Drosophila melanogaster: one gene and its partners. The protein of the gene in region 3 interacts with the protein of the main gene of each other region in a pairwise test. Each region holds a gene or a part of one and is shown on either strand. Other genes may lie near its edges.

Region 1 (9,278 bases), on a different chromosome or scaffold from region 3:
CCCCTCCACCGGGACCGCCCTCATCGTTGGGCCAGCAACAAATTGACGCAATCTGATTAAAAACGCATCAAAATAAAACTAACTGGTGGCGAAGGGAAACCGGGGAAATGGGCGAAGGGACAACAACCTATGCTAAATGCTCGTAAAAGTAATTTTGTTGGCCCACACACACAAACACACTTGCACGCAACACACACACGTGCAGAGACACTCACACAGAGACACGTAATTTAGGGGTGCTGGCGGAAGTGAAAAGGAAACATCTAGTCCTCTTAGAACAGCCGACGTCCCCTTTTTGCGTACGCAGCATCCGCAAAAGAGTGCCGAAAACTGAGTGGTAATGCCGGGGATTTTCTACAGTAGGCACTCGCGAATTGGGAAAAACGTATGATAAACCAAGCCAGTTTAAACAGTGGCAAGCATAAAGTTAGTTAAAGCCTATGCCGAAATATTATATAATATAATATGTACATAAATAGATAATATAACACATTCAATCAAAAACCAACGTTGATGAGTTAATCCGCTGAATGCTAAATATTGTGTCAATAAGCTATTGTACGTATTGTTCACACATTCTATGCGTTCTTGCGTCTGAAAATGTCGACCTATTTATTTTTATGGTAGTAATAAGTTTTTATTGCTTTGCCAACAATTGTATATTATGTACATGTGAGTTTTACGTTTTAAAGCAGAAATTGTTTACTCACATTAAAACAAATCTAGAAGAACCTGAAATGTAACTCATTTAAAAAATTTCATAAATGGTCGCAGTAAATGCAGTTTTAAACTTAACTTCATTTGGTTCCTGCGCACCAGGTTCCACTGTACTGAAACATTGGTGCCGTGTATGGCCAAAAATCACAGTGCGGGCGGAAACTGAGTGCCGTCATCAAAATACGCACACACACACACACACGTTGGAGAACACGGGGAGAGAGCAAGATAGAAAGGGGCAGACAGATGAAATCAGAAAAAGGAGAAAAGGAGGAGGAGGCAAACGGAGTGACAGCTGCCCCATTCGCATCCGGGAAAAAGTGGCCGCTAAAATCATTTGTTAAGTGCGGTGGCCATGACAACTGGACCAAAAGTCGGAGGGTCCTGCTTCTGGTCAGATTTTTCAATTTTTACATCTCCCTCTGTGCAGAACGCACACACATATGCAAGTATTTCCATCATCATCCACACCAGCAAACAAAACAAGAACAACAGCCGTGTGCAGCCTCCTGCCCCCTTTTACACGCAGAGAAATAAAGTATAGCAAGTCGAAATTTAGTCGAAATACATTTTAATGCAATTTTATTCATCCTCTTGCTTGATAAGGCTAAATAATATGCTTTTATAAAAACAGACTGCGTTCGAGACCCTCAGCGAAACTTTTTCTAACGAGAATAACTTTTCGATATCAAAATAATTTATTCATTATTTCGTCCAGTGCATCCATTTCGCTTCCGTGTTTCGAAATTCAATTTATGTATACTTTATGGAGCCGTAGCCGGCTCCCCAAGCTCCATTTCGCCCCCCCTTTTGCCCAGTGAGGCGGAGAAAATTGTAAGTTCAGGAAAATCGATTTTCTTGTTGTATTTTTTCTGCCGTTCTTCATTATTTTTTTGGCTGGCTGCAGACATGGCTAATTGGAGTTCTTTTTGTTGGCATCAGCTCGTGAACTGAATGCTGCAGTTTGCATCTTTACTCACCTCGTTGCGCTATTTTTAATGCACCGGATTCGGATTCGGATTGCCTGTTTCGGGGATTCGATTCGGGACTCTCCTGCCCCACTTCCCCACTCTTTTGGCCAAAGAAATTGCGTCCAGAGAGCGACACTCACACTCGCACGCACAAACACACGCACGTACACACGACTGCAGCAATGTTTCTCTTCAATTGCAGAGCGCTTTTTTATTCTATTTTCACGAGCTCACTCGCGATTTTACGCACTTCTTTTCGGCGACAACTATTTCGTTTGAGATAGTAATTCCGTGGAGTAATTATGCTTCACATGCTGCCTGTTTTCCGAACACTTTTCACTTTTCTTTCTTTTCTATGCAGCTGAATGGGAGCAGAAAACAAACGCAGCCCTAACGGCACCGAGTTGTGGTTGTTGTTGGCTAGGCAGTGTGACCGCAACTGAGGGTGGAAAAGAATCCGTTGCGGAAAATATACCGAAATGTATCTTGTGGATTCATTTGCAACAGCTGCGCTGCCACAACCATCGTGGGTAGCTAGAGATGGCACAATACCAATTCGATATATGTACAACCAAACATATTCATTCCATATTTAAAAAGTTTTCGGTTACTTTCAGATCCATTCAATTAAAAGCGGTTTATCTAATTTGTCCCCATATGGTGGTTTTCCATTTGACCAATATTATGACGATTTTTTAGATTAATTGTATGATTCCATCTATATGTAATGCATTTTACATGCTAACGTAAAATAGCATGCAGCTAAGTTCGAAATTTCGAACCCAATGGTCTGGCAACGCCAAAGCGGCTTACCGGCTGTTCAGGCGGTATTATTCGGACTTCATGCGGTCATACTAACTGGAAATTACTTAACATGCTGCAAGGAATGCTCCAAAGGCGAGTAAATAATGAATATACCATTTATTTTGAGTGGTATAATAACATACATTGGCATTGCAGGACCTGCCTGGCGGTTGTCAGCACCGCACAAACTCTAATCGTGCGGGATAAGCACGCTTTCAACCGGGCGGTGCTGAAACCGAAAGTACGCTGCCATTTTCCGAAACCCATGGAGGTGAAGAGAATTAATGTCCACGGCTGGAATGCTAGGATGTCGACGCCTGAGGGACGACGAGTGCTGATGAACCGGATCCTCAAAGGACGTCACAATTTGTCACACTAGCCTTGTGTTAATAAACCTAACTTTATTTACAATGTTATCCGATTGCGATTGCTACAGTAAGCTCAGTTTTAGTTTCGTTGATTCGCTGGTACTCCCAGAAAGGCTGGCGCTCGATGGTAGATCTGCTGAATACTCTTCGAAGATTTCGAATCGTCAAGGATGAACACGAAGGGCACACTGCTGGACACACCTTGGCCCTGATCCCGAAGGAAGCCCTGCGGCAGGGACTGTTCCCCGCCGAGGATAAGACAATCCACCAGGGACATCTTTTGTAGCGGCATTGCTGGCACCAGGTATAACTCCTTGCGCTCGTAGTCGATGGCGCGAACCACACCTAAAAGAATTTTGGAATTCAATTAATAAGCCACAAAAGAACGTGAATGTGTACAAACCTATTCCCAAACATTGGGGCAGACCTGCTCCGTGATGGCACAGATATACTACATTAGCCTCCATGCCTCGAATCAGTTCTTCGCGCGAGTAATTCTTGCTGGTGGGATGCAGGATTTTCAGGGATTCCAAAGACACTCCCAACGGCTGGCAGTCTGTAAGAGATTTGGCATTTCCAGTCAGGCAGGAACTGAGACGTGCCAGAAGATTGGAGTACCGCATGTCCTTGGCGCTGAGACTCCAAGTTCCTTTTTCCCTTGCAGGCACTGCACTTATCAGCTTATGGAGTGTGTATTTTGGTATTTCATTGATCTTGAACTCCTCCGCAGAGTATATAATTGGTTTTATCTGCGACAGACTGTTCCGGTCGAGGACAGAATCAAAGTTATTGATTGGAATGGGACTGGCAATCTGTACAAGATCCGTGGGACGAATGCGATCCACCAGCAGAGCCATCAATTCGATACCAAATCCCTTATTATAGCCCATCGTATTTATCAGCCAAGGAATATTTGAATACTTGGCATCGTTCTGAATGTTTTGGACTAGCTGAATAACTGCTCGGGCATACTGCTCTGCGCACAAGACAATGTTGGTGTGGCCCACGACAATGGCATGTTCCGGCTGCCTGTTGTACAGGAAGCCCGGTCCCAGAAGGGGCTCATCAATTACGGTGCAAGAAATAGTCTGGGGTACAAATATTTCCGGCTGACCAATGTCCAGGTCGATGAGCAGCATGGATGGGAATTGACCCAGATTTCGGTTGATGAGGTAACGCAATAAACTAGACTTTCCGACGCCCTTACCACCGGCTACGATTATTCGGCTCGTTGCATGCATTTGTAACTTATTCCAAACCTGCGGAACTTGGAGAGTGCGACTTTGATCGCTCGATTGAATCAGACAGTGCAACAGGGTTTCACTTTGGCCAAATGGTCGATTGGAAGAATTGACAAGTGGGAATACATTTTGCGCCATGTGCTTGCCAAAGGTATCGACGAGCTGCTGGGCACTTGTGTTTCGGTGGAGCAGTACTATTGCATTCGTCTGACGCTGAAAGCTGGTCTTAATCCTGTCTAGCTGGGCGCGTGTAAAGTTCTTGTTGAGTTCTTCCCAATTTACCTCATCTTTTACAGGTTTTTTAGTCTTGGTTGGCGAAATAGATACCCAATTAAGGCCTTTAGGAGAATAAATTGTGATTGCTTCCTGCCTGCGTGCTCTGTAACCATTTACTGATATTTGACCACAGAGTAGAGTCAACACTAGTGTGCCATAAACTTCGAGGTCCTCCTTAATCACGGCCAGCACATGATTGCTCTTCAGACTGTTCTCAAAGACGCTAAGCTCAGTGGGATTCGCTTGCGGATTTCTGTAAAACGGGACATCGCTTGGTTGGAGATAATTTTCCTTTTCTGGTGTTACAACTTCAGGCAGTGATACCTCATCATTCTCTTCGGTTTCAATTGCAACTTCAGACTCCTTCTTTGGGGGCACACTGCTTAAGTTTTTTACAACAATATCCATAACACTTGACTGTTCAATACGTTCTTGCTTTTTTTCCACAGGCGGATCGTCGAAGATTTCCTCTATAATAAGCGGCTCTCTTTGCATACCCACAGGTGGATGATCGAAGAATCCCTCAATGTCAGGTGGCTCATAAGTTGAATCGAGGTCGTCGGTGTCGAAGATATCGCTTCCGAATTCTTCACTATCGCTGTCACTAACATCCTCCATATCGCTATATTCACTGTAGAAATCTCCATCACTATCATAGTCTGCGCTGCTTGTGTCTTCACTGTCAGACTCTTCGCTGTCAAATTCCTCCGATCCAAAGTCATCGCTATCTTCTGGCTCATAATCAATGTCATCTTCGTCGCTGTCAGTTTCTTCCTGTGCACTTTTAAATACCTTAATCTTTCGAACTGTTCCACTGCCATCCCCATCCAACAAAAGAGGTTGGTATTCATCGTGTTCAAAAGGAGGAAGAATATCTGATAACTTGTATTCGGGGCCTTTGCATTTGACCTTAAAAATCTTTGGATCTTTAAGAAATGTCTCGTCTATTTCTTCAACTACATCGTTTTCAGAGTCTAAAAAACATAGTTTAAGTTAAGAAACAAGAGTAATATTAAAAATTCCTTACCACTTTCAATTAAATAATCGTCTTCTTCACTCCAATCATCCAATGAATTCATTTCAATGTCACTTGTTTCCGCTGCAGTACCAATTATCTCTACTACTTTACCATTTTGTACGACCTTCATTGAGCTCTTGTTTCCATTTACCTTATGTTTCTTAGATAAACTTGCTTCTTTTGTTTTATTTGGCGTCTTGACTTTGGTTTTCTTAGGAGCTAATTCTGAAAAATACATATATATTAAAATAAAATGAGGTTGTAATTCTGGATCTAATGCATACCATTTATACTATGAACCTTGGGAATAGGAAGCTTAGCACTTTTGCTTGTTGCTGCAGATTTTTTAGCTGCAACATTTGAGGATTTATTTACAGGATTCTTTTTGGGTAGGGTATTATCCTTTTTAAGCCTCTTCTGGGATGGTGAACTGTCTGGATTCGACACATTATTGGAAAGAGGTCTCTTTGCGCCGGCTGTCTTATTTTTCTTGGATTTTTTGGGCGACTCCATCTGGGCTTTTTGAATCATTGTTTCCGAAATCTTTGCAGGATTGCTGGCCACCTTTGAAATAACTTTTTTCTTTGGAACAGCAGGTGGGTGTTGTGGTTTTTCCGGCTTACGGCGACCAGAGGCTAGTTCTCGCTGTTCGGTGAGCTGGAAGCTCAGTTTCATTTCTTTCAGAATATGTTCGTCAAGCATTCCTTTTCAGTTTTTTGCTGAACTACCAATACTTCCCGGGCCATGCGACCGCAAATTTAAGAAGAAGAGCAAGAATAACATATGTGCGGTGTTACCAGTCGTGGTCGGTCATGGGAATAACGCGCACAGAGTTGCCATCGATGAGAACTATCGATTGGGTTAATAACAGCCCTGCGCTCGAAGGCGTTGGTTGGTCATCGAGCGTTCATCCCGCTACCGAGAAATGAAACGGATGAACATTGTTCATCGTCATTTTGCATGGGAAAAAATCGTCGAGTTCAATTCGAATTTTTGTAATTGCATTAACTTTTATACGATATAGCTAAACGGTAGACGCATAAGAATCAACAAATTTGTGCCATTTTGTAAGCAAATTAAGTGTCGAATTCGTGCTGAGTGTTGTGAAATCACCAATATAAATTGTAAGTGGCCGAAAGAGCAGAAGTGAAAAAATTCCACACAGCACGCACACAAATGCACGCACGCCCAGCCAGAGGCGAACAGACACACGCACACACACACACACACAGCCATACCGAGAGTGGATGATGAGATGTTTTTGGAATAAAGTGTGAGCGGGACGGGCGCGGAGAGAGGAGTTTCCTGGAGTGTTGGAGAGAGGGGTGGAGAAGCGGGCGGCCCTATGACGCGACCAAAATGAAAATGCGAATGCGAAAAACCGTAAAGAAAAACGGGAAAAACTCGGCTAACGGACAATGGACAATGGCCAGATAAGAAAGAACCCCACACTTTATACTATTAGATCGCCGTCCAGCCGCAAGTATGACTAAGTGTGTGCGCGAGCGGGAGAGGGCTATCGGAAAAGAGAGCGAGCGCGCGAGTGTATTTGTGCTGTGTGTCCACCAGTGTGCGTGTGACTGTATGCGAGTGTGTGTGTGGCTTTTTCATTTTGATAATTTTTTGAACAGGCGCTCGTTCAGTTTTCGCGAATATATAAAACAGAACGGCTGACTCGGATTCGGAATCGAAAATTGTATTCGGATTCAGAATCGGACTCGGAATCCTCGGGCATCCGCTGCACTTGCATTGCATCTAGCTACAGTTTGATTTTGCCTTTTGCAGAACTTCCAATGACGACGATTCGCAAGAAATTGGTAATTGTCGGCGACGGTGCCTGCGGTAAAACTTGCCTTCTGATTGTCTTCAGCAAAGATCAGTTCCCCGAGGTCTATGTGCCCACCGTATTCGAGAATTATGTGGCCGACATCGAGGTGGATGGCAAACAGGTAAGCCCCTTTTCCCGGACAGGCCCGCCCCTCCCCTAACTACCCGTCCCGTCCACCACTCTGAATGCCACCCCCAACCGGTGGCTGACCCCCCTCCCCTGATAACCCCACCCTGCCATCCAAGTGATAATCGTCTGATCTCGTTTTATAATTTGTGTGCATTCTCAATTCATTCCGTTTTTCAAGTGCGCGTATCCTCCTTACACTTTCCACCCGCCTCTGTGTGTGTGTGTGTGTGTGTGTGTGTGTGTGCGGGTGTGTGTTCCCATGGGTGTGTGTTTATTGTTCTCTTGTTTGTGCCACCCACAACTTCACCCACACCTTGGTCGTTGTATTTCCTTTTCTTCGCCTGTAAAATGAAATGAGTCAATATCGCCTCATGCCCACAGACGCATCCATAAATAAAGGTGTCTGGAAAAGCAAAAGAAAAATTAAGATCATTTTTGGTTAAGTGGAGTGCAAATTTGGATTTTTCCGAAGAATTCAAAGTTTTGATAGCAGTGATTAAGTCACACTTGGGCACATTTCCCCACACTTACACGCACACATGCTCAACAGAGAGTTGGCAGCACACACACACACACAGAAGTAGTGCTGCTCCCTTCCTTCCGCTCGTTTTCTTTTCTTTTTATTTTGTATTTGTCTTATACAAGTCCGTTGCGCACATACAGTTTAATGCGTTGCGCCGCCCCCCGCTCTTTCTGCTGCTCTCTCGGGCGCTCTCACTCTTACTCTTTCTCCCTGCCTACCTGTACTCTCTTCTAAGGGGGGGGAGCGCTCTCCCGCTCCACCGCGCACTCCCTTACTCTATGGAATGTAATGTGCGTTTTCCATTGGGGCATCAAGTCATGATTTGGCTATATGTTCGTTCATATATTCCATTTGGGATCTACAGTATTTTCAGGCGCTTTTTTTCGAAATAAACACTGTGTGTTTGCCTTTGCTGCGCAATATGGCGGGTTTTCAATTTTCAGTTTCTGTTTGTGTTTCTGTTTGGATAGCGTTTACATACACACAAGTTCACGTCATTCCACTTCGCCTCGCTTCGATGTGATTAATTCGTTTGGCATTTCCGTCAAGTTCCTTGCTCACACTCTCGTACTCGCACTCATGCTATCTTCAACTCGAACTTGTCCCATTCTCCTCCGAGCCCGCATCGCACCGTCCCGTGCCACAAAAAGCCCCATCTATCTATAACCCTGACGACACCGCAACTGCAAGCGTAACTCTCAATCATAATCCGCATCCGATTCTCCAGGTGGAGCTGGCCTTGTGGGATACGGCCGGGCAGGAGGACTACGACAGACTACGACCGCTGAGCTATCCCGACACTGACGTCATACTGATGTGTTTCTCAGTGGATTCACCCGATTCGCTAGAAAATATTCCTGAAAAATGGACCCCAGAGGTGAGTTTAACTGGAATTACAGAACAGTTTCTATCAGACGATCGTAAACAAGTATGGTACTATATATATATATACTATACGGAACTAACAAGTCTAGACAAAATATGTTTTTAATTTTTATGTAATGATGCAAATTTGGAAAAAGTTGAACTTTTAACTCCAGTTAAAATATATTAAACATTTTTGAAGTTATCGAATGCATTTGCTTATGATATGGAATCTTTAAGACTATGCATCTCTGTGTTCTTGTTTATGTCATTGAAGCTATCTGAAAGACTGGTTTTGGTTTAGAACGAGGAAAGTTTAATAGAATTGTTGGTTATTTCTAGTTTAATCACTAAAAATAGTCTGCTATGAGCCAATTTGCTTTGACTTTCTGAATCATTTCCTTACTTCTCAGCCTTTAATTTATAATGATAGATATAGATAAGAAGAAAGTAAGTGGTTCCCAATTACGAATTACTTGTTTTTGCAGTTCGACTATATGGAATCTGATATCAAAATATGATACTAATCCTTACTACAT
Region 2 (8,241 bases), on a different chromosome or scaffold from region 3:
TATTATATGAAAATACTGCTGAGCGTGTGCTTGATTTTTTACGGAGCTTATCTCGGTGGCATCCACTGGGTGCAAATGGAATTTCATATATGATTCACAAACTTTTCGCTGCTCCAAGATAAATGATTTATTTTCTTCTATTTTTCTTTCCATAGAGTCCAGAGCCGGAGACTCATCCTCGGCTGGGATACAAATGTTTTCATTAAATTCGGTTTGTTTGGTGGTTTCTTTTGTGACCCGCTTTGTTCTCGGTGGCCATTGTGGGGTCCATTGCTGCCATTTGCTACCGGAGGAGGGCCACCCATCTGCCACCACCCACTTTTGTTGCCAAGCTGGAACACTAAACAATACAGCAAAATTACTTAATTTCATGTTGGTCTAATCAAGTTGCCATTGCCGAGCAGGTAAGCGACGAGTGTGTGGCTGGCTGGCACGGAACGTCCTCCGCACAAAGGTGGCCAGCGGGAGCTGGAGCAGCTGAACCATATGCGGGGGAGGAGGGCAGCTGAGGGTCCTGGGTGGCAGCCCTGCTGTACTCAAATAATTTGCCGTTACCGTGCACCTTTAATGTGCCTACACTTTAAGGATTTTACAATTACCATTAAAAATATTAATTAGTTTTCAAGTTTTAATTTACGTATTTTACATTTACTACTAAAAGGAAGGAAAGAAACTTTTCTGTTGATTTGGAGGGGTATTTAATATATTTAAAAGTGGGATAAAACATAACGATGAATTTATTGATTCTTAAGTCATATTGCCAATGTACCAATTGTGATTTTTACTCCCATACAATTTGACCCACTGTTATATATTCATAATCATATAGCCTTTTACTGTTGTTTTGCTAGTTGCTCGACTGGGTTTTTGGAGCAACTTTTCTCAGTGTACTTCGTCCGCTCGTGTGTGAGCCACAACGGAACGTTTAGTGGTCCCACTTATGCGGCGGAGCAAAATGAAGGGAAGAGGCGATGCAGCAGACGTGGAATGGAAGCCCAAAAACAAAAAAAAAAAAACTACATGAAATAGGTGGACAGCTAAACGTTGTGAAATGGGGCCAAACGCTAGAAGGCATTCAAGATTTTAGTGGGTCTTTGGCCAGGCTCATGTTAATTTCAAACTGTGTCAATGTCGGCTTCCGTTTCCTGCACACACACACAGGACGTAGCCTTTGGCCACTTGAGATGCAAAGAGGTAAAAAGGCCACAAATTTAAACATTTGCCCACTCCAACACGCACCGTCGCTCCCACACACACACACACACACTTACAAAAAGAAATCAAGGTGGCCGGAACGAAACATTGGTAAAACGGTCATCTGCAATAAGCATCAGCTGCTGCTGGAACAGCGTGAAAGTGGAACAAGCAGAGGCTGCAGGACACCCGCTGGGCGAGAAGCACAGGATGTGGGCCAAAAAGGCACGGGGAGCCTGCTCCTGAGGCGCTTGATAAATTGGTAGCGACATTTCAGCCGAAACTTGACAATTAACAGCTGAAATACATGAGCTGTATATGTCTGCTTTGTGTAATTAAAAACCCAGCAGACAGCCTGGAAATTGCTTGGCCAAAATGCTTTCATTTTTTTTTCGGTTCTAGCCACTTTCGTCGGTTGGTGGTCCACTCTTGGACAAGATTGAATGCGCCAACAGAAATTATGCCGCCAAGTGTGCCTTATATTGCTGCTACTGCTGCTCTTGCAGCAGCTGTTTTGGCTGCCTTCTTCTTTGGGCCAAATTAACTTTAGCCAAGTTGAGTCCACAGCCAGCCTATGTGTTTGTGTGTGTCCGTGTTGCCTTCTTTTAAGGGAGAGCATGCCTGTGTGAGTGCTTCAGTTTATTGTGTGTGTGTCAAGGCTATGCTAAAAATTTGTCCAGAACATTTGCACATTTTGATTTGTTATGTTGTGGTGCACTGCAAACAATGTCGATGTATTTGGGTGGATGCTGTACGAGTATTATGTTGTATTGGGTCTCATCTACATCATCGTGATCATAATGTGCTGTTAGCAAAACTCAATTTCTTTTAAATCCTTTGGGGTTTATTTGCCAAGTTGTAATTAATTGAATTATTTCCCAGAAGAAATTATTATGTTGATTTATCTTCGAGTATACGTTTGCTGTATTATGGGGAGCGTGCTATAGTTTATTGGTAAATTAGTAATTTATGTTGACTAATAGATTGCCTCCTTTTCGGCTTTATCATTGTTTTTGTGCAGCTTAGACTTTGCTTCTTCGATGGAACAAAGTTTTGCGATAAAAGGGCGATCAACGTTTAAAGTTGGCTTAGGAAAACCTCTAGAACAGTTCTAAATTTTGGTAGTAACTAAACGAGAAAGCCAGCACACATCCCTCAGTGTCTTTTTGGCCACCCGAGGCGTCGTAACCCCTGAGCCCAACATTGTATGCGAATGCCGCTCCGATAAGACGTGCCATTTAATTACCAAAATATAAAGTGCATTCCGGCTACCAGAGCGCCCAGCATGGAGTTTTCTGCGAGTGTCAAATCCCAAAACAAACCCACGAGCAAATATGCCGCATGCTGATGACGACGGCGATGCCGATGTTCGGCTCGTAACAGTGCACGTGGTGGCCAAAAAGCACGCTACATGCACTACATCTACTCATACACTTACTCACACACGCACACACACACACACACACACACACAGGCTCGTGTCGGGTGCAGCACTCACTCACACCATGACGAGTGCAGAGGCGTCGGCAGAGTCGACCGAGACGGCGACTGCGATAAGATAAAGCCCCTGCGATGACATAGAGCACCCAGAGCGCTCGAGTTCTGCCGACGCTGGCAGAGATGGCGGCGCAGACGAGTAGCGCATATAAAAGCCGCTGACTCGATGGCAACGAGCATCACAAGACGGCCAACCGCGCTGCCGAGCAGACGAGTCCAGTTCGAGAGGGTACCAAAATTTAATCAGAAAGTGTAGAGTCAGTTTAGAAGCAACGGTAAAGTTAACGTCTATCTCTGTGTGTGAGTGTGTGTGTGTGTGCGAGTGCTAGTGCTAGTGCACCTGTGTTTGTGCTGAGAGTTTCCGCTACAAGAATAATAATGCCGCAACATTTTTCGAAAAAGCCCATTTCCAAAACCGACAAAAGAACAAGCCAAAAGTAACGAGCACAAGTGGGTGGCTCAAAGAGCTGCGAGGCTCAACAGGAACCAGAGCCCCAGTTTTCCTTGAGTGGGCAGATAGTTTGTGAAAGAAAGGTGGGGGTAGGGTATGCTGGAGGTACTTTTGCAAAAAACACAACCAACCTCTCGACAATTTAACAACTGGAAGAATATTCTTACTTCGCCCCACCTTGGTCAGGGCCATAATGAATTCATTGAAAGCGTGGCCAAAGTTTTGCTCTGGCCAAGCCAAGGAGAAGCGAACGCTGCCGCTCTAAGGATCCTCGTCCTGTCAGTCAGTCAGTCAGTCAGCCAGCCTGTGTCTGTTTTTTCGGTCCTGTTGTTTGGCCAGGCATGCGTCGGTGGCCTTAGGCCGCTCATTGTGAGCTCCTTGGCTCCACAGCTCCTCGGTGGCTGCAAATTGTAAATTGTAAAACTGTAAATTGTCAAACTGTAAATTAATGCAAATTACACGAAATTACTGCGAACCGGACAATGCAACAAAAGGCAAATAGTGGACGCGGAATACGGCGGACAGTGGACAGCGGACCACGGACAATTCCCGGAGCTGCATCAGCAGATAAAGAGCAAACGGCGACGCCACTTGCATTGTCTATTATTTTAAATTGGCTGCGCAAATTTACGGCAGCGCAAAAGTAATTAGCGACGGTTGAAAACTGTGCCATCGTCCAACTCGAATTGAGAATGAAGATGGGTGAGAATTGGAAAAGCGATTGGGTCATCTGGTCATCGGGGGGATTAGGCTGCTGCTGGGATCAGCAAACCGAGTTGTAGATTCCCTGCCAATGGCAGGCCAAATACGTATTCCACTGTCCAATTTGCATGCTGATGCAATCAAAACTACTACAATTTGTCCAGAAAATCGATCAATCGCATGTCTGACAGAGTGTAGCATACTTTTCAGCACTGCCTAACATTTGTCAGCTATCTGCATTTTTTTCGGACCCCATCCCACATTTTATTCTCTAATAATTTATGAGCTTCCTGCCTGCCCTCGCCTGTCGGGAATTCAGATTTTGCATAATAAACACATTGCAGCCCAAACCAAAAAACAAGAACCAGTTTATGCAAATCAAATTGTGTTGATAAACGAGTGGTAGGGTGTTCTCTAATTTGATTGCCCAATAAATTGCTGTATCGAATGAAACCATTTCGCATCTCGCGCGCCGATACTAAAAAAGCAATTAAAGCATTGATGTCTTCATATTGAAATTTATAACTTCACAGATGGCTATTAATTGCCGGAGAGGAGATAAAAGTCTGGGATTTCCGCCATATTTCCATTATTAGAAACTCGTTGCTGCGCTGCATGGCCCGAAAAATGAAAGCGAAACTCAAACAGAACCCAATTAACGAGCCTTCGGCGGTGATGTTGGTTAATGTGGTTGCCTCGTGCCACAAAAGCCGACGCAGTTTTGTGGCAAACAGCGCGTGGCTTTTATGCATTGGCGCATGAGTATTGGTAATTAATGGGAAGGCGGCGGCACAAATGACCGTGCCACAGCGACAAACAAACTTCCGCGCCACACGGCGTATGCGTAATGTGCTCGGCGCCCTACAAAGCGGAACCCAGCGGAAAACTGAAAAACAAATGACATCGATGAATTCAATTTGCGCGCATATTTAATTATTAAATGCGAGGATAAATAATACGCACATCAGGCTATTAAAAGGCTTTAAATTTCCACGGCCATTTCCCGTAGCCATTTCGAAAGTGCTACTGAAATGTGATTTCACTGCATTGCAATGCATTGGCTAGCAGGCTCGTAGATTATCCAGTCGAACTTAATCCCGTTTCCAATTGACCTGGAACAAGCAGACCATTTATATCACCTTTTATATATATTTATTTGCATTGATAAACTTATAAACATATAAAGATTTATGCTAGGAGAGAATATATCAGAATATAACAGAACTAAATAGTATGAATATTTTTGGATGAATATTATTGGCTCCAAACTGTTGTATGAAAACGGTTTCATTTGTCTTAAACGACGAACAAATTTCACAAGTGGTCTCATATTGATTTGTATTTTCCCGTATAAAAACATTAATTTCCTTATGCCCCTGGCTACGTGATTGTATTTCAGTTGAAAAGCACTTTTCATTCCCTTCTGGAAAGAAACTCACGGAATTGCAATTGCCAATGGAGATGGAAAGGGCGCCAAATTGAATATTACACTTTTTGTGTACTTTTAGCCAGTTGAGATGTGGATTATTTTTTCAGCATTCATTTTTTATTTTAACCAACATACTACCACTCCAATTTCACCTGATGTTAATTGAGGCGCACGTGGGAAATTAATGAACTGTGACAGTCTGATTTTTGCGCGCAAATGTGTGTGCATTAAATGCTAAATGAAGTTGACATCGGCTGCCGCATTGTTTGAGGCCATCGTTAATTTATTAATTAAACAAGCGATTTAACCTATTGCAATAATTGTCAAAATTAACCTTTATGACAGCGAAATTTGTGAATTCAATTAACATTGCCAAAGTCAGCTTTGCACAAGATTAATCGTTCTAAGGGAAAATGGAAGGAGGGCTTATGCAGCTTATGAATTTTTGCAATATACAGCATTATGAATACTGGGCCAGATTATTTTTTAATTTATTTTGACTCTTAACTTTTGACCTTGCTATGACATAATTTTAAATAAAATGTGGGTAATATTGTTGATTTTATTCCGTTTTTCATAAATTGTAATTGAACTAATCCACTTTTAAGCCAGCACTCACCTGCACTTCAGATGCCCGAAGGCAATAGAACCAATATTGATAATTCTTCCATTAGAATAACAATTTCCCCACCATTTTCTTGCATGTTTCAGCCCTGACTTGGCTTACAAACGGCAACCTTTTCGCCATAATAATATAATAATATTATCTTTAGTAAGAGTCAAATTTACGCGCACTTGACCAGAAACCTTTACGCCGTTCCTAGATCGGATGTCTTATTTGAATTTGCCTCTTGCCAATTCGATAAGCTCGACTCGGAGAAATTCTATTTAATTCCATTTCCGAGACAAACTGCATTTTTGCCAAACGGAAGTGGTCCGCTTTTAGCCATCAGCCATCAGGCATCAGCCGTTGGCCATCGACGCTGTCTTGGCCATCCCGGCATCCTCGTTGCCGTTACCGTTGCCGTTGTCATGTTCATTGCATTCCACTTTCCACTTGACATCCTCGCTGCAATTTCCCTCTGTTGTGGAATTATGCTTTGGCTACCTTAGCGGCTCCTAGCTGAGCGAAACAAACACCAGTTTCTGGGGTAAGGGATACCCGAAATGAACTAAGGCAAATATTTACTAGGCTTGTACAATGACTTAAGCCTCTTCCAAATAAAGATAGTGAACATGAACGATGCGTTTTGTTCTGCCTTTAAATTCTATTCGGGAGATGTATTTTATTACATATAGTTTATACGTTATATTTCTTTCAATTTCTTCAATCCGATAGGGTTCTGGCAAAGCACTCGGCACTCGATTTAAAGTCCCTTGAGACTCGCGTAACGCCACCCATAAACGCTGTGAATATGAGGTACTCTTTTAGAGGCAGTTAATGCAAACACGAAGGCTTTCACAGGCTTTCAGCTTTGAGCGCTGGCAATGGCCCGGTCTGGTCTTTTGATGTTTGGGGGCCTGTTTACTGCGTCTGCACTGCCAAGATACATTCCACAATGCATGCATGCATATATAGTTCTGTCTAATTTAGCACATGGCCCTGCCTTGCAACTGGCTTCTGATTGAAGGTTAAATGAGCCATGAGCCCCACAAACACACACATAAGCATACACTCGCACGCTCGCAAAGGGGGCGGGGCTGGGGGCTGTCTGAGGCAAAGCCATTGCATTTGTGTCGCTTTTAGCTCGGCACTCGACCCGCCTCTTTTCCCCCAGGATGCATTTGCATTGCGCACAACAGCGCTTTCGCTCTTTTCGCATCCTTAGACAGTCCTGTTTTATTTCCTTTGCCCGAATTAGCTGGCATAAACCAAGCCAGTCAACTAGAGCTAACCCAATCCGTTTTCCTGCTGCCCCTGGTTCTATTCTGCTAGTTTTGGTTTTAATATTTTTTTTCTTCCTAGACTGTTATTTTTACGAGGCAGCACCACCCCTAATTGAGAAAGAACTTTAAATTTAAACGCAGCCTTGTTTCCGAATACTCTTCATTTGCCATTTTCTGCCATCGACGATGTCCGTTTAATTGTATTTTTCATTGTCATTGCAGTTCCCCATTTCCGGTTGCAACTGTGGTGAGCCAATATAAGCTCAATAAAGAAAACAACCAGCGGTAAATCAAACACACAAAAAAAAAAACCAACACAATAATGTCGATCTCCGATTTCCGCAAAAAGAAGCTGCTTTTTCTGTTCAATGTGTTCTTTGGTGAGTATTTATCAGAATGAAGAATGACCGATGTGGAAAAAAGGAGTTGCAAGTCGCAAACCGCACGTGACGTCCATTTTAAGGGGAAAATCCCAGTCATGGGACGGGAAAACTTTGATTAGGTTGGAGCCGAAGTGGAGGAGTCGGCTTTAATAGGAGTGTAAAACACGGCCAAGATATTATGAGAATTTCTATAATAAAATCGCAACGTGAATGACAGACATAAGCGTGACGTTCACTTTCGATTTAAGCACCACCATATGTGCTGTGAAAAACAACGCGTATACGTAATGTGGTCCTATTGCATCGCGTATACGTAAGTGCTTGAAATCCACTTAAATACGTGGAGTGTATTCCGTTCCATGTTTAATGCACAGGAGTGTTTGCCTGTCAGGGAAGTCAAACAAAACTTGCCAATTTAAAATTAATTTAAACGCAATGCAAATGTCGAAGGAACAACTTTCGTGGAGAGCTCACGAAAGTAGGCAACACTGTGTGTGATAAAGCTTAAGTGCATTTCAATTATGACTAATTCACCGGTGCGGTGCGGTTCTCTCATCCCTTGATTCCCATCCACAAAATGTTCTCTGCTAACTTGGCTCACTGCCCGCCTTTCGGCGGCAGCTGGTCAGGATATAACAAAAGAGCAGCGTCGAAAAAAAGGGCATAAAACGCAAACGCCAAACACTTGACACTGGCAC
Region 3 (7,205 bases):
TAATTCAGAACACAAACAAATTTGCCGGAGGTTAAGCAAGCGTATTTCCTATAGGAAGCTAAACAATGGATGCGTTATGATTTGATTTAACTCCGCACCGACTAATAAATTAATGCAAAAGCGACCGATCTGTTCGTGTGGCCGACATTCCGAAACCAACGTCTCCTCTCAACTGACGCTCAAATGTTCGAACAGAACTGAGAAGAGCTTATTAAGCGGGCCCTATTATTTGTTTAACTCTTCCAATTTCCCTGCAAGTCGCTGATGTTTGAGTGTCAAAACATAAATAAACAATTCAATTCAACACCCATGACGGTGTTTGATATTCTGTAAAGTTCATTGGCTTTTTTATAGGTTTAAAGTTTTGAAGTTTTGAAAGTTGAAAGTTTTAAAAAGCATTTTTTAAAACCAATTTTTATAATGTTCTAAAGGTTTCTAAGAATCTAAAACAATAAGTTTTAAAAATATCTAATCTTAAAATAACTAAAAATGTGTAAATGTGTGTATGTGCTGACTACATAATAATTAAATAATTAATTAAGTTTTTTAAACAAATATTTAAGAACTGTCTTTTAAATTCCCATTTTTAAAGTAACGGTCGAAAAATACTAGTCAGTATTTTAATACACCGTAGCGCATATTGGTCACACTGTTGAACAGCTGTTTAGCCGTCCTAAAGCAAAACATTTGATTATTTTGTTTATATCGAGTGCTAGTAGCATTATCTAAGCTGCAGAAATGCTGCACTCACAGACAATGCAATCCATACCCACTCTGCACCAGCCGCTACACTCCAAGGTATCGAACTATCTAAACAATCAGCGAAGAACCGGACAATTCTGTGACCTGCTCCTCGAACTGGATTCGGATGATTCCCTCAGCTTAAGCGTCCATTTCTGCGTACTGGCTGCTCAGAGCCAGTTTATAAACTCTAACCAGAAGCAACAGCAGTTCTCCATTCACAATCCGCTGAAGATCACCATCCGTAATTTCAGCTGCACCCAATGCCTGCACACAATTGTGGACTTCTTCTACGAGGATTTGGTGTCCGTGTCCAAGGAGCACGAACTGCATTTTAGGGAGCTAGCGCAAATTTTGGCTGTGACAGAACTACTGAATCTCTACCAGTTGCAGCCCTTGGGCGAGGCGAAGGAAGCAACGGAGATCCCAGCACCTGGAGAGGCGCAACCAAATCCAGATCCAGAAAAGAAAGCGGAGGCTGTGTTTGAGAATCGACAAAGTTACTTCAAGGTGGATAATATGTCATTGAGCCACTGCCGTAACTTATATTCGCCTTTTCCTTAAAGCTTAAGAACCCGCGAGCTGTAAAGTCCAGCAGCAAAGTGAACTACTGCATTGGCTGCGACTTCAAGTGCTATCAGGTACAGAAAATGATCGAGCACATGGGCAGCTGTGAGCCCTCCCATTTGATTTGCTCGCTGTGCGAAGTCGGCTTTCTGGACTGGCGGGAATACGACACTCACCTACGACGGCACTCTGGTGATCTGCGTAAGCCCTTCTTTTGCTTACAGTGCGGCATCCGCTTCAACACACGAGCTGCCCTGCTCGTCCATCAGCCTAAGCATTCCACGGAAACGCCGCACATATGTCCACATTGCGGCAAGGGCTTCAAGTGGAAGCAGGGCCTGAGCAATCACATCCTGGTCCACAATCCCGAGAAGCAAATGCTCTGCGACGTCTGCGGCTATAGCACCACGCACATGAAGGCCCTCAAGTCGCACAAACTGCTTCACACCGGAGAATTCTTTGCGTGCACAGTTTCAGGCTGCAAGCATCGAGCCAATCGCAAGGAGAACCTCAAATTGCACATTGAAACTCACAAACAGGGTCGCGATTTTATCTGCGAGGTCTGTGGCTGCAAGTTCAGCCAGAGCAAAAACCTCAAGCGTCACGCCCTCAAGCACACGGAGAATGGTCCGAACCGCTACAAGTGCCAGCTGTGTGGATTCAGCAGTCATCGCTCCGACAAAATGAAGGAGCACGTGCAGCGGGTTCACACAGAGAAACCGGTGCAGTTGGAGCTCTCGGAAACGGTGGACAGTAGCTTTCCCGATGACTTTGAGCTTCCCGTGATCGAAACGTCACCCAAGAAGAAGCCAAAGAGTGTTAAGAGCAAGACTATAAGGAATGTTAATCCTGACAAGCGACTGAAAACACTACTGCCCAAGGAGACTGTAGAATAGGAATAAAACGGAAGGTTACCCCATTCATAACTTCTCAGAGAAAGAGATTTGTGAGGCAAAGGTCAATAGTAAATATTTAGAATAACTATGTTGAAAAGAGACTGTATCAGCAAGTTTAGAACATTTGCTATATTTACAAAATGAGACGTGGGATCTCTCGTTCTGAGTTCTAGTACAACAAAATTGTATCTAGAATATTCACGGAAACCCAGTTTCTTTTTAAAGCCATTAAAAAAGAACCATCGAGAAATCTAAAGATTGATTTGCTACCAACGAATTGTAAATAAAGTGGTATATTGTGGCAGGTTCTTGAAACAACATTGTTGAGGCCGTTCTATCTTATCTAAGATGGTGACTACGATCTATTGCGTCGTTTGAAGACGAACTTTCAGAACGAATACCTGCCAAATGACTAACTAGAGCGATAGTTAGCACCTTATCAACGCCAGAAGGCTATGTATATATGTATGTACGTAACATTTGTTTATATAAAATCCATTAAACCAAAACAAACTGAAAGCTTTTCGCTATTCAGAAATAAACAAATGCGTTGCCTGGTGGGAGGGAAGTGGGTCAACCGATCAGGTTCTAATGCACCAAAATAAATATCCATTATGAGTATATCTTTTGTAAATCAAAAATGTTATTCGAATTATAATTATTGCTAAATTGTTTCTTGTGCCCTAACATTCAAATATTGTTGAGTGTAAAAAAATAAACAAATTTTGAGCAGTGTATCCAGAACATATGATGCATTTAATTCTATATTTATTGGGTGGAGAAACAAATGCAGGGTAAATGCACTTTGATGGTCGTTTGCGGAGGGCCAAGGTGGGTGTGTGTTATGTAACCACTCAGGAACGTGTGTATGCTTAAAAGTTCTTAAATTATTAAAATAAATGAACAAGGCGAAATAATATGTTTGGCGATTTCAGTTTTTTTGTTTACCGCGCACTTTGTAAACAGCAAAAAATTAAATTGCGCAGCAAAAATTGTCAAGGAGGCACTCTCTTGAGCGCAAAAGGGTTGTCAGGCCCAATAACTATGAATTTTAATAACTAAAAATTCTTTTACATAAAAAAGAGCAAATATATTTTGTAAAAGTTCAGTAGAAAGTTATAGAAAAATTAAATATTTTTAGTAACTACACGTAAGCAACAATTAAATGCCCTTCTAGTAGTTTCTTTAGCTAAATCCGGCAACTCTGACGGAGAGAGAGCTTTGGTTACGGAACAGAAAGCTTGCGCGCCTATAAAAGCCGCTGCTCGACCGAAAAAATTCAATTCCGTTCGCAGCTCAGCGAAAAGTGAACAAAAAAAAGCAGAAGAGAAATTTGGAAAGCAGCCTGCAAGTTTGCAGAGAAACAAAAAGCAGACACCAACCAAGAACGCAGTTAGTTTTGCAACCTTAAATCGCCATTATGTCCGAGGCCCACTTCGATGAGTACGAGCACTACAACTTCGACCATGACAAGCACATCTTCTCTGGACACAGCGGCAAGCAGCGCAACAAGAGGGAGGCCAATGAGCACACCAACCACTTCGATCCCTCCGGTCATTCCCGCAAGATTCTGACCAAGCTGATGAACACCAACAACAACAACAAGAAAGCCGCCGCCTGCAAGAACTGATGCAGGGCATCGACGGAGGCGGTGGAACAGGAGAGAAAGAAGTAACGGGGCCGCGCTGAAAGGAGAAAAGAAATCTTCGAATTTAAAAGGAAAGCAAAAGCAAAGGAGAGAAGAAAAAGAAGAACAAGCAGCAGTTTTGCTGGAAGGAAAGAAAGAAAAACAAAAGCCAGCTGGAAATACACATTGCATTTGTATTGTGCATTGGCTTTTCATGCGGCGCTAAACTTTGTGAACATTATAATAATTTTATTTCGCTTATAATTTCACAAACACAAAAAAAGAAAGGCACATACTACTCTTAGCTTCTAATATATTCCTAAACTAATTCAGACTTGCAAGTTTTAGTTGCTAAGCCTTAGAGCGTTTCAAATAATGAAGTTTGACTTAGGTAATACATATAAAATAAAGAGAAAACCAAAACTGAATAGCCTGGTCGTCTTATTTTCATTTGCATTTGCAGCGCACCTTTCCAAGCGAGAGAGCTTTTTGAATGCCGTTGGTGTGCTGTTGTGCATATTTATAGCCTTTTAGTTGAACTCATTTGCACTCAGCTCCTCGATTATCGCAAAAGCAGTTGCAGTCGACTTTTTTCTTTGTTTACAGCGATCGACCAAAAAGAGAACATGTATGAACATATTTATTTGTGTATGTAATGTATGTATGTTAGTTTGCAAACGGAAATATTCCCGAGACCTTCCATTGAAAGTTCACCAGTTACACAGGTAATTAAACTTGCACACACATATTCCTGCATCATTTCTTCCGGTTTAAATTTGCGTGTAAGGTTGCATTTATGAATATTGCGCCGCTTTTATTGACTTTCAATACTAAACGATATTTTTACATTAGGTGTCCAAAATTACAAAAGCTATGTTATTTTCCACTCACAAACAAACAAGCACACGTACAAAAATAAACCGAACAAACTTTTCCAGAAAGGTCCACTCTAATGGAATTCTCTCCTCTCTCTCGCTCTCTCTCTCTCTATAAACGCCATTTGCCGGCTTTTTGAATTGCGTTGTTGATATTTGGTAAACAATAAAACAGACTCTCGATCAGGTGGTTTTGCTATAATGCATATTAATGAAATTGTTCGAACATATTGACAATTAAAATTCCAAGACTCTTATGTATGTTTAAATTCGCATTTTGGTTAGTCATAAATATTCCTTATCTTCATTAAATAGCATTTCGTCTGAATCATTGATCTATCTAAAAATGTGGTGTTCCAAACTTCAAACAAATAGAAGGTGATGAAAAACCTGTTTTTTTATAAAATTAAACATTGCAATATATTGCGTGTTAAAAGTGCCTTAGAATCGGTTTTTTATTTTTATTAAATGTATTTCTAAATTAAAGATTCGTTAAACTCGCATTACAAAAGTAAAACAAAATCGATAGATAAACATTATCGCCGCGGTTTCAAACAAAGCAATATCAACAAATAAAATTTACAATCGAGCTTTTTAGAGGAAAACAAGCAAGAGGTCTAAAAAACGAGTAAACAATTTTGGGGGTAACGAAACTAGTTTGCCACGCTGCGTTTCGCCGGTAAACATATGACGCATTAATAGTTCAGTAAAGTCTAGAAATCGATAGAAGTTGAGGTCTATACATATTTACATACATACATACATTCATATTTATGTGTATGTAAGATTTGAAGGTAAGATAGTACATCGAATATACATACATACATATGTATACATATGTACATATGTACATATGTACTTCGTGATTGCACTTTTCTAGTTGCGCTCTTAAGATTAAATACTAACTTCATAACATGAGCAATTTTCATTTCATTTCAATTCGCATTAAAGAATAAAATTGTTAACATCGCTTTCTTTTCTAAGATATGAGTTTTAATAGGTGGCTACCTATATGTATCTATATAATAAACTATGATAAGCTCATATGTGTATACAATATTCTAATACGATATCCTTTCTTTTTGGTTACTTTGTGTAGTATACCAATTTCCCAAAAAAAACTGTGTATTAGCATTTTTAAAATGGTGTTGTCTTCAAATTTCGAATCGTTAAGGCGATCTCACCAATGTACAAACACCCCATTGATGTTGACTTAACGTATCTTAATTGTAGAAATAGATTTCTTTTCAACCCCATTAATGAAAGTCGCACGCTTGCCACGATTTGTGTCTAAATATGGGCATGTATGCAGCTTCCTAGATCGTGATCTTCGCCTGGCACACGACCGACGACGGACCTCGATGGCGGCCACTCCACAGGCGTGGATCTTTGTGCTCCAACGGCACAAAGCCATTCCAATTACGATTTCCTAAATTCCATAGTCCATCTTCTGGAAAGAGAATCATATTGCACACTTTCACCGCGAAAAAAAAAAACGAATTTGTGGCGAACAACAAAATCGGGAATTATGCATAACTGAATGGAGAATGGAAGTTAGCATCGGATGGGATGGGATCGTAGTACTGGCTACATTGGTGATATGGATGGTGCTAATTGCCGCGGCACTTGGTGGCTTGGATGAACCGTTAAATCGAAACTGGAGCACTGGCCCAATAACGATGATGCACGCGGCCCGCGGATTAGCACCTTTCAACGAGCCACTACGGATGGATGTTCTAGATACCCAAAAACCCGCCATTAGCACCATTGCCGGGCGGAGTTTTTCTGGCTCAGCATTGGGACATCTTCGGTTAGTTGTCGACTTAACTCCGAGCCAACTGGCCGTGCGGTGTGTGCTGAACCAGGATTCGAAACAATAGAATCAATAGTGACAAACGGATAATGTCTGCCTACGAGAAAATGCCGGCGAAGGCGCCACGACGCCTCTCACCCATATGGTTTCTGGTGGTCACGTTTCTTCTCTTTGCCACCACCTTAACGGCGCTGGCCGTGATCGAAGCTGGACGGGCACAGAGCAACGCGGGCGGAGAAAGCGATCTCCTAATCCTTACGCGCATGTGGAATCATTTCAAGTCCGGTGCCGATAATGATACAGAAATTGCCACGGTGGAGCGAATTGCTAGGGATGCCGGAAATGCAAGCAATCCGAGTGCATCCGCATCGCAGCAGGGCAGAAACTTCTACGAGGAGCAGCAGGCGGTGGTGGTGAATGCAGAGAGCATGGATTCTCCCGTGTTGGGACAACGCCAGGATGCCTACGGTCCGCCGCAGAGTCGCGAGGATTCCTACGAGCAGGATCCGTACTACGATGTGGCCGATGACTACGGACCTGAACGATATCCCAGTGCAGAGTCCAAGCAGGAGTCGGAAGAGGATGAGCGTTTCTATGATAAGGAATACACCGGTGAGGGCAGGTCACAGCAGGCACGTCCCTACGATTCCTTCTACGCTCCGTGGTCATATAAACAGCAGCCAGCT

The links.
Region 1: the proteins of CG6770 (region 3) and CG8414 interact in a two-hybrid assay, tested with the Drosophila melanogaster proteins (one large-scale study listed by BioGRID).
Region 2: the proteins of CG6770 (region 3) and Scp2 interact in a two-hybrid assay, tested with the Drosophila melanogaster proteins (one large-scale study listed by BioGRID).

The regions. Positions count from the first base shown.
Region 1 is NT_033778.4:16,096,431-16,105,708, forward strand, and holds CG8414 (uncharacterized protein), read right to left. Parts: upstream 6,179-9,278; 5' UTR 6,098-6,178; coding exon 5,680-6,097; intron 5,621-5,679; coding exon 5,405-5,620; intron 5,352-5,404; coding exon 3,264-5,351; intron 3,206-3,263; coding exon 2,940-3,205; 3' UTR 2,876-2,939; downstream 1-2,875. Other genes in the region: mRpL34 (mitochondrial ribosomal protein L34), read left to right, coding at 2,563-2,585, 2,649-2,871; Rho1, read left to right, coding at 7,189-7,344, 8,603-8,752. UniProt on the Drosophila melanogaster protein: Polynucleotide 5'-kinase involved in rRNA processing.
Region 2 is NT_033777.3:16,578,289-16,586,529, reverse strand, and holds the start of Scp2 (sarcoplasmic calcium-binding protein 2), read left to right. Parts: upstream 1-2,866; 5' UTR 2,867-2,966; intron 2,967-7,382; 5' UTR 7,383-7,482; coding exon 7,483-7,540; intron 7,541-8,241.
Region 3 is NT_033779.5:12,042,395-12,049,599, reverse strand, and holds CG6770 (uncharacterized protein), read left to right. Parts: upstream 1-3,481; 5' UTR 3,482-3,624; coding exon 3,625-3,834; 3' UTR 3,835-4,257; downstream 4,258-7,205. Other genes in the region: Plzf (promyelocytic leukemia zinc finger), read left to right, coding at 739-1,251, 1,308-2,204; CG6785 (uncharacterized protein), read left to right, coding at 6,609-7,205.